2 linked regions of the Styela clava genome follow. The protein of the gene in region 1 interacts with the protein of each later gene in a pairwise test. Links are inferred from orthologs where the notes say so. Each region holds a gene or a part of one and is shown on either strand. Other genes may lie near its edges.

What was found.
Region 2: the proteins of 26S proteasome non-ATPase regulatory subunit 4-like (region 1) and UV excision repair protein RAD23 homolog A-like interact in a two-hybrid assay, tested with the Caenorhabditis elegans proteins (3 studies listed by BioGRID). The link is inferred for Styela clava from reciprocal best matches to the Caenorhabditis elegans genes rpn-10 and rad-23.

Annotation. Positions count from the first base shown.
Region 1 is NC_135250.1:20,480,211-20,487,854, reverse strand, and holds 26S proteasome non-ATPase regulatory subunit 4-like, read left to right. Parts: upstream 1-4,646; 5' UTR 4,647-4,794; coding exon 4,795-5,952; 3' UTR 5,953-6,932; downstream 6,933-7,644. Other genes in the region: translin-associated protein X-like, read left to right, coding at 6,954-7,644. UniProt on the Caenorhabditis elegans protein: Binds and presumably selects ubiquitin-conjugates for destruction. Required for protein degradation and ubiquitin-proteasome system (UBS) function and regulates proteasomal subunit expression. Involvement in UBS might be cell type specific.
Region 2 is NC_135251.1:21,488,711-21,495,439, reverse strand, and holds UV excision repair protein RAD23 homolog A-like, read left to right. Parts: upstream 1-4,231; 5' UTR 4,232-4,280; coding exon 4,281-5,396; 3' UTR 5,397-6,227; downstream 6,228-6,729.

The sequences.
Region 1 (7,644 bases):
GAACTCTGAAATTGTAAAAGTGGTTAATTGGATGAAGGCTAACAAATTGACATTAAATATCGATAAATCTAAGTCTATGCTTATTTCACCAAATAAACATGAAGCCAATCATAACTTATTAATCTGTATTGACAACATTACATTAGAAAAAGTCAATTCTTATAAATATCTGGGCATATATTTAGACAGTCAAATGAAATGGGATATTCATATAACTAACTTGGCTGCTAAGTTATCTAAGTCGGTGGGAATACTGTACAAACTCAGGCATTTTATACCAATTTCGACTTTACGTATGGTTTACCACTCGTTATTCCAAGCCCATATTCAATACGGTATTTCTGCATGGGGCTCCGCTGATAAAACTCTTTTACGCAAAATTGAAATAATGCAGAATAGGGCCATTCGTGCTGTGTCTGGCAGTGGACCTTATGCCCAACTTGATCCAATCTATTATAAACTTCGTATTATTAAAATGGTGGATATTTATAAATTAGAGATATTGAAATTGATGCACCAACATCACAACAAAAAACTCCCTGTTACATTCACTGATTATTTCTTGAAACAAAGCAGCGTGCATTCTTATAGAACACGATCCTCTGCCAGTAGTTCCTATTATGTAACTCATTTTTCAACCAAACGTACTCAAAATTCGATAAAATATACAGGCGTTAAATTATGGAATGCTTTATCCGATAACATTCGAATTATGAATTACAATTCATTCAAACAAGCTTTGAAAATTTTTTACCTGGATTCCTATGTATCCTTTTAGTCTGCTTCAATAAGTGGTATAGATCCCTTATAAGTATAGTAGTGTACCGTATACAACCCATGTCCCCCACCTTTTGTGTGGCTCGATTTTTCTATAACTGGTCATTCGGTCCAGGATCTCTATTTTACCTAAACGATCGTGACTTTTTTCACCTCTTAATGCCATTGGCATTGTCACCATTTTTCTTTATTGTCCTCACAGAGCACGACCATTATCACTGAGTTTGCATCATTGCCCAAAGTACATGTGGAATGAACTTTTCCCATCAAAACTGTTTTTCCTGTCTGAATTGTACTTATATATTTATTTATTTATATATTGCCGTATCAGTACCGATACTTAATCCAACCCGGCTTCCCCTGTTATGGTTGCTGGGAATTCCCCTTCAGTTGCTAAGTTTCTGCAGCGTCCTGCCAGTCAACAATTTCATATTGTGATTGCGATCACCCGAGCATGACGCTGCGAGACTGACATACTGATTTATCGTAAACGCGTTTTTTCTGACTTTTACTCGACACGATGGATATTTGTTCCCATTTAAACATTTCTCTCTCGATTCCCTTCACATTTCTTTTTAAACCATTCTCTTTTGACTTGCTCTCTCGATTCGATTTACGTTTTCTAAATTTCCCCTGAGCTAACTTAATTCTAGATTAATCATTTCTTCCCCGACTCTCTTGATTCCATTCATACTTTTTATTTAAACTTTTCTCATTTGGCTTACTCTCTCGATTCGATTTACGTTTTCCAAATTTTTGCCCTGATCATACATAACTCAACCTTAATCAGCTAATGGCTAGCCGGCTACCCATCAGAATTTTCTTTCAGATCACAAAGTCGCAATATTACGCCCCGCTAAGTTTCATTGGCAACTGTATTTGGTTGTAGTATCGGTGTCCAACTTTAGACTGAAACCTTCACTACCAACCCCACCGAAACAAAAAAATTTTCTTGATAGGGTCGTATTGAAGTTGCTTTCGTTCAAGCACAATAGACACTTTATTTCCACCAATCCACAGTAATCACAAGTTACTTTGTCATTACGTTAAGCACCAATAAATGGATGCTGAGGTCTTGTGCCACTGTGGTCTTGCCACTGTGGCAACTTATACTTTGCCATCCATCTATTCCATGGTCACACCCATATCTGTAAGATAAAGGATACAGATTCATTTGATATCATGATCCTGCACTAGCTTTGTAATATTTGTAGAGTTTTCGTAAAATTTAACAATCAAGTGGTGTGAAATTTATGTCCATATCCCACCACAAACACTAGTCGTAAATGAATTTGATTCCGGCTAGCATATCTTTTTTTACCAATGACAATAAAAAGACATTTTGGGACAGTTGTACAAGCACCTTTAGGATTGCAGGTGCAACAACTAAATCATATGACGAATCACAGTCTCTCGTACGATTACCAGTCTATGTTGGGATTAGTTAGTCAGTTATTTGTTCTCAGAAGCATGGACTTGGATGGTGGGGGATGGTCGTAACCGATCAGCGGTCGTGTGAACTGCAAGGAGGAGAGCTGCAATTCTCTCGCACATAACTATCCCCTCATGGGATTGGAACCTGTGAAACTACCAGGGTGATCAGAGATGCGGTGGCGAGCGTATTCCTAGATGGCGAATTCAATTGAATTCTGGTTATTTTTTGCATGACCACTGGTGTTAAACTTTAGTTATCTATTCAACCTCAACCGTTCACTCTCAGTAATAGATTACCTGCTAACTAGTAACTAGGGAAACAATACATTATGGCAATTGATGATTAAATTCCTTACACAAGTCAAGTCTGCAAGTAGGTCTAGGCCTACCAATAACAGTAGTCTGTCATCTGCTTTCCATTGAAATGAGAGAGCTTATGGATATTTAAAAAAATTGATAACGGCACATTATCACTCACCATCAACGAAGTGCTGTCCGCAAACAGTGAAATACAAGCGAGATGACTTCTGGACTTGACACCAACACCAAGCAGTCCTGCCAATAGATGATATCCACATTGCACGACGTTCCGGATCTTTTGAAAACAGGTGGAATATAACTGAAGATCCATTTCGTTGTCTATACTATACGTACAGCCAACAGAACAATACGAAATAACCATTTTCAACAGCCAAACAAAACGGAAAAGTATAATCCGACTTGCAACTGACAGAAGCCAAATGGACGTTTTTGTTTTTATTGCCGTCCAGTAACGAAGTCACGTGACCCGTGCAAGTCCTCTATATGTCATTGGTAGGCTATAATCTGCTATTTGTGAGAATATCTATACGTGGGTAACAAAGCCCTAAAATCCCGGGATTTTTAGGAAATATTTGCGGGATCGGGACTGAAAAAAAAAAACAGTTCAAATCCCGGGATTTCGGGATCGGGTTTTCTTGGGTCCCAATGAGCATATATTTGCTCATCGCGGGTCTCAACTCTACGAGCAACTTCATACCCGGGACCCAATGTGACGCCAAATCGGAACAAAGTAGAAGTGTCATATGTATAATTTTGAGCGATTATTTGATTTTATCAAGTTTCATGCTTCTGATATTAGATTAATAAAAGGAATTCAAAATAATATCCGAACTAGGGTTAGTTCGGATACCTATAATTTATACTATCCGGATAACGGATATATCCGGGTATTTTACCTATCCGGTTAACCGGATAGTTAGTTACTGCTAATTTCAGAGAACCGATTTTACAAGATTTTTGTGGCGAATTGACTGAAAACCACCACACAGTTCTATTGTAAATACGTACATATGTATTATTTTTCTCGAATAAAAATGATTGTGCATTTTGATGTTGCATGTGTCAATAAATAAAAATTTAAGCTCTGTAATCGTACAGAAGTGCAGCTGAATAATATAGTGAAACATTGTTTTAAATTCTGTGTCCTAATTGTCTTCCTCTCGACTGCTAAGTTATTTTCTCATATTCAAATCCTATGTAAAAATTTATATTATTCCTTTTTTTATTGTTAAATTTTTTGGAAGTTTTTTTCTGTCTAGACATATAGCATATTTTCTTTAAATTTTGACTCCTACTAAATTTTGGTGTCGCAGACTCACGATGACCATTTCTTCAAGCTTTTAAGTTCAATTAGTTTAACATACACCTGACTTAGATAGAATAGATTTATTTTCAGCTGGTATATCTTTTGATTCGATTGATACAGGGAAATTTGAAAAAACATATATACCAAAGTTAAAAGGAAGCACATAACATTTGGTTGTGTACCCAAAATTTTGAAATGCTACACAGATTACATGGAATCGGAAGTATTGTGAAATAAGTCCTCGAAATTCAAACTGGTTTACTTCATGATAAAATGCGTTCCTTCAATACACGCAACAATTACTAAAAGCCACACCCGACATAAAAGCAACAAACTCACACCCACCCAACCAATACTTTTCAAATGAATTCGTTTAAGTTAGTCTTTCTTAAACTGTACCTCCAGTTCAAATCTAACTTTATAAAGCGAATAAGCTCTCCTAATAAGCGCAATAATCACATTTGTTCTGCGTGTTTTGTGATGTAATAGTGAAGTTCACTCCAGCATTCTACGGATGGCTAAAATATATATAGGCAGATTAGAGTGGAAAAAGTTGTTATTATATGCTCTGGGAGATGTCAGTCGCCACTCAACAAAAAATATAAAAACCGCTAATCGCGCATATGTATTATTTATACTGCTCTATTATCCGGTTAACCGTCACAATAATATCCGGATATCAGATAGCAAAATAACTCTTGGTTAACCGGTTAACCGCTATCCGGATAATCCAACCCTAATCCGAACATAAGTTTGAGGCCAAAGGTCGGGGTCACTGATCCGAAAAATAAATTCGCTGTGTCATGAAATAAAAATAATGCTGTGTTACAACTGAACCATTGTGATCCTGTAATACAGTAATAGGTGTAAGTTAACAGTCGGCGGATCAACTAGTTGCGATCTTTTTTGTCCAGTATCTGAAAGTTAAATCGCGCTGAAGTAGACTAGATATCAAGATGGTTCTCGAAAGCACAGTAATATGTATCGACAACAGTGAATACATGAGAAACGGGGATTATTTGCCAACAAGAATCCAAGCCCAACAAGATGCCGCGAACTTGGTATGCCGTACAAAATTACGTTCTAACCCTGAAAACAATGTTGCGCTACTCTCTCTTGCTGATGTTCAAGTTCATGTTACATTGACAAATGACTCAGGAAAGTTGCTATCAAAATTACTTTTAGTGCAACCTAAAGGGAATATTAGATTCTTAAATGGCATCCGTGTTGCACATCTTGCATTGAAACATCGTCAAAGTAAAAACCATAGAATGCGTATTATTGCCTTTGTCGGAAGCCCAATTGAAGACGATGAAAAAGAAATAAATAAAGTTGCGAAAAAACTTAAAAAAGAAAAAGTAAATGTGGAAATAGTAAACTTTGGCGAAGAAGAGTTGAACACACCAAAACTGACTTCGTTTATCGAAATACTGAATGGAAAAGATGGAACAGGATCTAATATTGTCAATATACCTCCAGGATCCATGCTTTCTAATGCTTTAATGAACTCCCCAATTATTGCTGGAGAAGGTGGAGCTCCCAGCTCTGGCGGTGGTGAATTTGATCTTGGATTTGACCCAGCATCGGATCCAGAGCTTGCTCTTGCTCTTCGTGTGTCATTAGAAGAACAGCGTCATCGTCAAGAAGAAGAAGCTCGAGCAGGATCAGAAATCCAAGAAACTCAGTCAGCTCCAGCAACTGCAATGGCAACAGGCACTGGTGAGGATGACATGTTACGTGCGGCTCTCGCAATGTCAATGAATCAAGAGGTACCAGCCACTGCACCTCCTGGTAGTCGCCCTGTTGATATAAGCTCTATGTCGGAAGAAGAACAAATAGCATATGCAATGCGCATGTCAATGCAAGAAGAAAGCTCACAATCTGCCATGGACACGGATGAGAAAACAATTTCTGAGTCCCCGATGGTGGCTGAATATGGTGATGATGGAGATTCGAATGAAGAAGATGTAATTGCTGATCCAGCGTTCCTGCAGAGTGTTCTACAAAATCTTCCCGGTGTGGACACATCGAGTGAAGCAATACAACAAGCCATGGATCAACTTGCTCAAAACAGACAAGATTCTGATAAAGACAAGAAAAAAGACAATGAATGAATTCTGACTACGCAATTATTGACACAAAACTGTTTCGAGAATATTAATGACGGACATAAAAAAATTTTTCATTCTGCCAAATTTCAGAATAAATACTGGCTGGCGAATATTATTGTGAGATATCTCTCCACTATTTCATTATAATATGATACCACATTCACAGTATGTTCTTGTAATTTAAATTAGAATGGCTGACTGAAGTTCTTTATTATCAATCAAGTGATTTCGCACTATCCACTTCTCCACAGATTTAAACACTACCTGTTATAAAGAGATATTGAAGACACTTACTTTGGCAAAGAACATCTTCACTTAATTGTTGAATGTTGTGATTATTCATCCTTGTAAGCTTTAGGTATTTTACAAACCTATACTGGCAGAATGCAATTCTTATTCTAAATGCTTCTATGACATACTATTGTCCATGTTAATATTTGAGTTCAACATTGGATTTTTGTGAAAAAATTTGAGAGTAATAAAGTATTTCGTTACAGAATTCACAAATTTTCTGATTTTATAGAATGAATGGTATGTGTATTCATCCTTTTAAAAATTAGGTCTTCTATCAAAAGTAGCAGCAAACGAATATTTGTTATCTAGATGCTTATATTACATACTAAGGTCCATTGAGCTTTAATAAAGTTATAATTCATGAAGAAAATATGCCTCAAACAAAATATCTGAATTGAAGCAGTAATTAAATTATCAGTTTTAGACTGTCAATTCATCTACTTGGGATATTGCTGTTAATTTTCAATATGATTTCATGCAGCCCTTGAAAGTTGAAGTTGCTCCAAGTGTTTCTTTTTGGGTGATTATGCTGAGAGTGTGTTCTGTCTACATTGTTCAAAAACATTCTTTTTCCAACTTGACATACATAGGTAGCTATTTGAGTTAAATAAACAGCTTTCAAATGCAATGAAGGCAAGATAAATGTAGTGTTTACTTATTTTCGTTTTGTTTCTGTAACCTATAATTAGTGGTAACATTTATTATCTCTGATGGATGTTATCGATCAGTTTCAATTATTTCAACAAGAATTGGAAACAAAACACAACAAATGGGAAAAAATTGTGAAACTAAGCCGTGACATAACGATTGACAGCAAAAAATTGATTTTTCTGTTACACCGAATTGATATTACATCTCCAGAAACAAACTCAAAGTTCAAAATAATTACTGAGGCTGATGAAAAATGTGATATTATTATGAAGAAGTGGAAACAAATTGCTACTGAACTGCAGGATGAGGATTCGCATGCGTACATTAGAGCATTCTCCCCAGGCCTGCAGGAATTTATTGAAGCAATGTCTTTTTTGTACTATTTCAAAACTGAAGAAAACTACAGTATACAAAGCATTTCCAACTGTTTACTTGATCTCAGTGAGATACAAAAATCTTTGGTTTTTGCAGATGATGAAAATAAAGAACCTTTAGTCATTCCAATACCAGTGTTGGAATATTTATACGGCATCGCTGATACTACTGGTGAAGTCATGCGCTTATGCATTAACTCTGCTGCAAAGGCGATCACTGAAACTTCGAAAAAAAAGGTGTTCAAGTTATGTGCTTTTATACGTATTTTATATGAAATGTTTCTGTCTTTTTCATCTATTATTGACGTATCACCAGGAAGAAAAAGATTGCTGCAAAGCAAGATCGATGTTATGAAGTCGTCATTACAAAAAGTAG
Region 2 (6,729 bases), on another chromosome or scaffold:
AGAATGTAAACCAGGGTGGTCCAAGGTTGTCGGCTCCGCGGGCCACAATAGTGCCAAGAATAGGTAAACAGGGCAATACAAAACAAACAATTTTATTGTGCAAACACATAGTTATCAGGCATAGCCAATCTAGGCTAATTGAATCCGCATTCGATTTTTAGTTTTCTATGATGCCTATATTGTTAGCATATATTCCCGACCAAAAAGTTAGAAAGCCAGATAACAATTTAGACTGCCAAGCACATCACTAAACTTCGCTAGTTTCCCCAGCTGGTCATAACGCTATTTAATTCAGTGACATTAGTGATGAAAATGTGTTAAAAGGTTTTTCTGATTAATTTTATGACAAAACAACACCAAATGCGATTTTTCGATTACTCTCCGAATGTGACGCGGGCAACAGATAATGAAGCGGCACATGTGGCCCGCGGGCCTGGGTTTGGACTACCCTGATGTAAACGATCTCATGGCTAGCACATTGTGTGGCCTAATGAATTTCATCGAAGCATATACATTATAAGGTACAAAATTTAAAAACCAGCCGCCGTGATTGGTGTTGCAGCTCTCATCAACTTATTATTGGCAGGATATTTCGATGCTTTTGCGTCGGAAAATGTAAAATATTTACTAGGTGATCTAGCGACATCATCATGTCTTCTACGTTCTCGTTGATAAAACTTAATTGTAATTTTATCGATATCCAACAGTGAAAAATTGGCCTTGATGTTTCCGGGGGAACCCTAAAAAGACACGGGGTTCAAATTGTTTGTTTCTATGGAAAGTGTCAATCCTGATGAATGCCCACAATCGCTACTAACTTTTTTTAGGTCTTACACATCTGATAAATATTTGAAAATTGATAGTTTCACACAATATTTATGCCACCCATCCAAAAACGCAATCGTATTTTTGCGCGAAGTATAAACTATATTTCGCGCAAATATTAATGCCTTTCATAATATATGTTCGCCTGATACTTTTCTGACAGATAAAGTTGCTTGAAATATAATTTCCTATCTTGCCACAATATCGCTTTCAAAATTTTGAAACATTTTCTCAATTTAAAGTTAAATATTCACGCAAAAAAGGAGACAAAAAAAATTATTGAAAAACGGTAAGCTAGTAGACCTGCGGCAAAAGCTCAAGTCAAATAGATGATATCTTATTTTATACACTGCAGATTATTAGATGTTCTTGATATACTCCGTTATCCTTCATTCCATGCATGTAGTATATTTTTTTAATATTATTTTAGCAATGTACACTTTGTTGAAAATTTGCGATACGCATATTTTAATATCATGACATAGCCGACCGCAAAAATAGTGCAAATTTCTGTAGTATAATTTGTATTGTAGTTCTGTCAGTTTGTTAAAATAGGTTTTGCGCAAGTAGCGATACTTACATCAGGAATTTTATAATAAATTAATAATAAAATGTGTATCTTTTGGTTAAATATTTTGGTCTTATTTGTGTAGTTGATTTATCGAGTGAAGTTGGATACCTTTAACCTTCACTTCGTATATGCTGACCATACCGCCGAGCCGAGTTATCCGAGAAACATCTGCGGATAATTAATTTTTCAGAAAAATGTTCATTCGTTTTGCCCCTGCGAAAGTTTGGTCCGAATTATTGAGCATCGTTTTTTTTTTAATCAGCTGTTTAACGATCGCAGGTTTATTAAATCACTTAGTTAGGATCATACGGCGGTAGAACTCTGGACACAAAATAGCTGGTGTGACGTCACACGAGCGCTTATAACGTTACCAATGCATGTCCCCCACTTGGTTTATAGTCACTTTGGGTTTACTGTACCTTTAGCATCACCGGTAACCTAAAAAAACTTACCATTTTTGAGCAACGATTTTTAGAATCCGCCTTCACGCCGTTTCACGTTCGATGGCACGTGATCATGCGTCCGCAGAAGGTTCGGTGACGTCATAGCAAACAAAAACAAATCTCACAGAGCTAACAGAAATATTTGAAATAAATAAAAGTAATGGATTTCTGTAGAAAAAATCAAACTTTAACCACTGAAAATTTCAAAGCAATTAGTCCAGTATTCGAAGAGAAAAGCGATTTTATAATGATGGTGACGAAGAAAGATAACAATAAGAAGAATGCCAGCATAAAATGCAAAACGATCGTTATGTCCACTAAAGTGTCCAATAAGATAAACATACTAAGGCAAAACGATCGTTATGTCCACTAACGTGAAAATGCATAAATCATGACCGTGATATCATGTGCCATTTCCAATGCGTTGGGGCGCTGTTGCACTCGAAATGTGAATCTGCGGAGTACCGGTAATGAGTTATAAACGTCAGGTGTATCGCGTTTGTTGAAAGGACTGAAATTGTGTTTAAACAAAATAAAACAAAAAATAATTCTGTAGTTGGACACGTATTAGCATATTTTGCTGACTGTAGAGGAGAAAAAAAAAATTGCGTTTGACGCTATTTCTAATTATGAATAAAAGTCTGAAAAGTTATAAGTAATACGGCAGCGTTGACTTTGTTTTTGTGCTAATAAATCTCCTCTCTTACACTAAACAGAGAATACTAAGATAAAAATAGACTAGAGGAATGTAACATCTGTCTGCGATTCAATGTCTAGACTCTAGTTCAATGTAAATCCAGTTTTTATTTATACACAAACAGACAAACCAGTACCGGTACGGGTACGCATAATAGCATGTGAGAATACTGTAAAGCCTGAATACCGTACTGTAATAAATAGTTCACTGCTCTTCAGCTGGTGGTTTGGTCAGTGGCAGAAGATCACCGTATGCCATTATTTTGCAGAGCCAGCACTTTAAGGCTTTGACAGCATTAGGATAAAATTATGTATTAGTGATAAGTAACTTATATTACTGTATTATATCCAATTTTTATTTACTGCATGCTTTAGCTCCTATCACAGCGGTTCCCACAGAGCAGTTGGAGGGGGACCACAATGCTGGGCGCAAAACTGATTTTATTTTTCACTTTAATAAAAGAAAACTTTTTGTTTTTAGTAGTTTATTGCTTGAAAAGGGTGTTTCCGCTTGTTCTTATGCATGGATTATTTGAACATAATGGGATTTGCAAATACCAATCAAAATAACACTATGACTACCTCTGAAATGATAAACAGGGGGCCACGAGCCATAAAAGGTTGAGAACCACTGTCAGATTGATATAGACCACTTGCTGACTTGAAATATCTTATATTTATGTTTTGAATTAGCAATTTCTTATTTATATGAATTGTTTTTAGTTTTCACAACATAGAATATTCGGGTCTCATGTAGTTTTATACCTAACATACTTCTAGTAGGCGTAGCATAACAATTTTTTCATGTGTCAATCCTAACCCCCGCCTGACTACATCATCCAAAAATAACGCCATTACGGCGTCACAGTGACGTAATAGAGCCCTTCAAACTATACGAACTGACATCCAAGACGCGTAGACGAGCACCCGAAATCGAACAGCTATTTTTCTCGTAGCAACGATCCCAATAGGAGAAAGATCGATGACGTTAGTCAGTTCTTTATCGTCGGCGCCGATGCCATTTCGGGCGATCGTACATATATTTGGCAAGCTCTATGACGTGATTGTGATGTCGTAGTGACGTAATTTTTGGATGGCGTAGTCAGATGGGGTTAGGATTGACATATCAAAAAATTGTTATGCTAGGCCCATTAGAAGTATGTTAGGTACGAAACCACACGAGACCCGAATATTCTTAATATATGTTAAATGCTATCTTTGTGTACATCAGTTCAGTTTTAATTGAATCCAAGTATGTTAGACACATAACCTACAACAACAGTTCCCAAATTTTTTGTTCATGCGGCACCAAATTATCAGGGCAAATCTCACAACGCACTTACACGAAAAAAAATATCTTCCTTTAAATATAAGTGAATTTTGTTTCATAATGTGTACTTTATGCTTTTGAAAGTTTGAAAACATGTCACCCTAACGAATAAAGGCAATGTTAACTCTTCTGCAGCAAATAGTGTCTGCCTCTATTGTTACGTAACGATAGGACACAGAATTTAAAATAAAAAACAATAAAACATTTATAATAAATACAATATATAAAATATTAAATCATATTGTTTAATATGATTCTGTCAATTGCCCCTTTGAGAATCACTGGCTAACGAGATGATCTGAAAAATTTCTGCTTGTTAAGAGAACTTACTAAATTCTGAAATTGCATGATATTTTTTTTATTTTCGATAATTATTTTATTTTTCAGACCTAAATAGTGAAAAGTATATAAAAAAATGATAGTTACAATAAAAACTTTGCATCAGCAGACTTTTACCATTGAGATTGATGAGAAGCAAACAGTCAAAACTTTGAAAGAGAAGATTGAAAATGAGAAAGGAAAGGAGGCGTATCCTATCGACGGACAGAAGTTAATTTATGCTGGTAAAATGTTAGATGATGAAAAAACCTTGGCAGAATATAATATCGTTGAAAAAAATTTCATTGTTGCTATGGTTTCTAAACCCAAACCAGCTCAAACGACATGTTCCGCTCCAGCTCAGTCCGCAACTACCACACAAGCGGCCGATGCCCCAACAACTACTCCTGAGCAGCCTAGCACAACAGAAGATACAAAACCAAAAGAGGATGAAAAACCTCCAGAACAAATGGATACAAGTTCATCTACCACACCCGCAACTTCGAGTGCTGCTGCAACTGGATCTGAGATAGCATCAGCTGCAGCATCTGCCCTTTTAACTGGTGATGCCTATGAACAGAATATCACTAACATTGTCAGCATGGGATTTGCAAGAGATGATGTGGTAGCTGCTCTTCGGGCAAGTTTCAATAATCCTGACAGGGCTGTAGAATATTTGACAACAGGAATTCCTTCAAATCTTCAGACGCCACAACCTGCTGCGGGTGGAGAAACGGCAGTTGCAGCTGCGGGTTCCGAAGAAACTCCTGCGGCAACCAACCCACCAGCAAGTTCTGAAGATCCTTTCGAATTTTTACGTAATCAACCAGAGTTTCAGAGAATGTGTCAAGCTTTGAGAGAAAATCCTTCATATCTGCAAATTTTTATGCAGGAATTGCGAAATTCAAATCCACAATTATTGGAGCAGATTAGTCGTAATCAAGCTGCTTTTATTCAGCTCATCAATAGCACAGAAGGTCAGGCTGCTGGGAGCACTGAGCAGCCTGCGGAAGGGGGGGGAGCTGGGGGGACTGGCCCTCCACCAGGCACCCAATACATTCAGATTTCGTCAGAAGATAAAGCGGCAGTGGATAGGTTAAAAGCGCTCGGATTTCCAGAAGAAGACGCTCTACAATTTTATATGGCGTGTGATAAAAATGAAACCCTGGCTGCCAATTTACTTTTTGAAACTATGGAAAATAACGGTGACTGAAATTCATGTAAAAATTAATTTGTATTGAACATTTGTTTCTTTCGGAGTTTTATTTGTTTTCAGCCTGGGTAGATAAAGTTGGCCATGACACCAAGCGAATCATCAGGATCAGGACTTATCCTAGGAAATATCACATCTATGCCAGAGGGACAGTTTTCGATTTTTGGTGTGGCTTATTGGAACTGTCAGTAAACTTAATTTGCCATTTGAAAAATGTTTCATATTCGCATTTATATGTTATGTATGATCAATTAGGTATTTTGTATGCTGATTGTCTCACACAAGAGATTATTTTTATATATCAGTAATTTTGCAACATAAATTTGTCAAATATTTTGGATTGTTATGAAGGTGAAAAAAAAAATCAAATTACTGGTTGGTAATGATTGAATAAATTGTTAAATTTTTGTAATTGTAATTTTTGTATCGCTCAAACACCAATATTCAACTGATATAGTGCATGAATATATATATACCAATCAAATAACTGAATAAAATTGTCCAATCTTTTTGATATTGGCTATGAATAGAACAAAAGCACACACTCAATTACCTCAAGGCCGAGCATAGATTCCTACTATAAAAAATAGTTATTCGATGCAGTTGTCCTGTCCCCAACTGCACTACCTGGAAATACAGCTGATAGTACCCCAGAAATTGTTTGAAAAATGTTCATGCATGAAACCTTTCAAATACATCCAATTGAAATCCAATACCCGGATAGATAATAGTAATCAAACAATACTTAATTCAGTTTCATACAGTTTTGTTCTTTTGCCTTGGTGTTCCATTTTTGGCAAAAAATAAAAAATAAATTTGTAATATTGCGAATCCGAGTTTTTTTATTCGATATATCATTAAATGAGGGAGCTTCAATGATTTGGCGTGATACGAAGTTTATTTGGCACACCGTAAAAATTGTAATATTGCCAATTAGTGGTCAGTCAACAGTAATAATATTTCTTCTGGGTAATTAATTTTAATGTATGGCTAGAAACTTGGGTTGCATATTGATCTGCAGTCATTAAAGGAGTGGTGATCATTCTTCTCACAGCATGTGGATTGATGATCATTGTTTGTTGGAGAGTTGAAGCCCGATTTGTTGTAATTCAAAAGGGTCATTGTCCCAAGTGTTAAGACTTATCACCTATGCCCATTATTTTGTATGGATTCGAATCCTGGGATTAACATGTGAGATATGTACAATCTTTGCTGCAGTATTGTTATTGATCTGACTGGTAATCGATTATGGCTTTTGCCACCATCAGTATTTGTGAGCTTAGAATGAGTTAGCTGTGTTCATACCTGAGAGGCAATGTGATTGGTTCGTCTT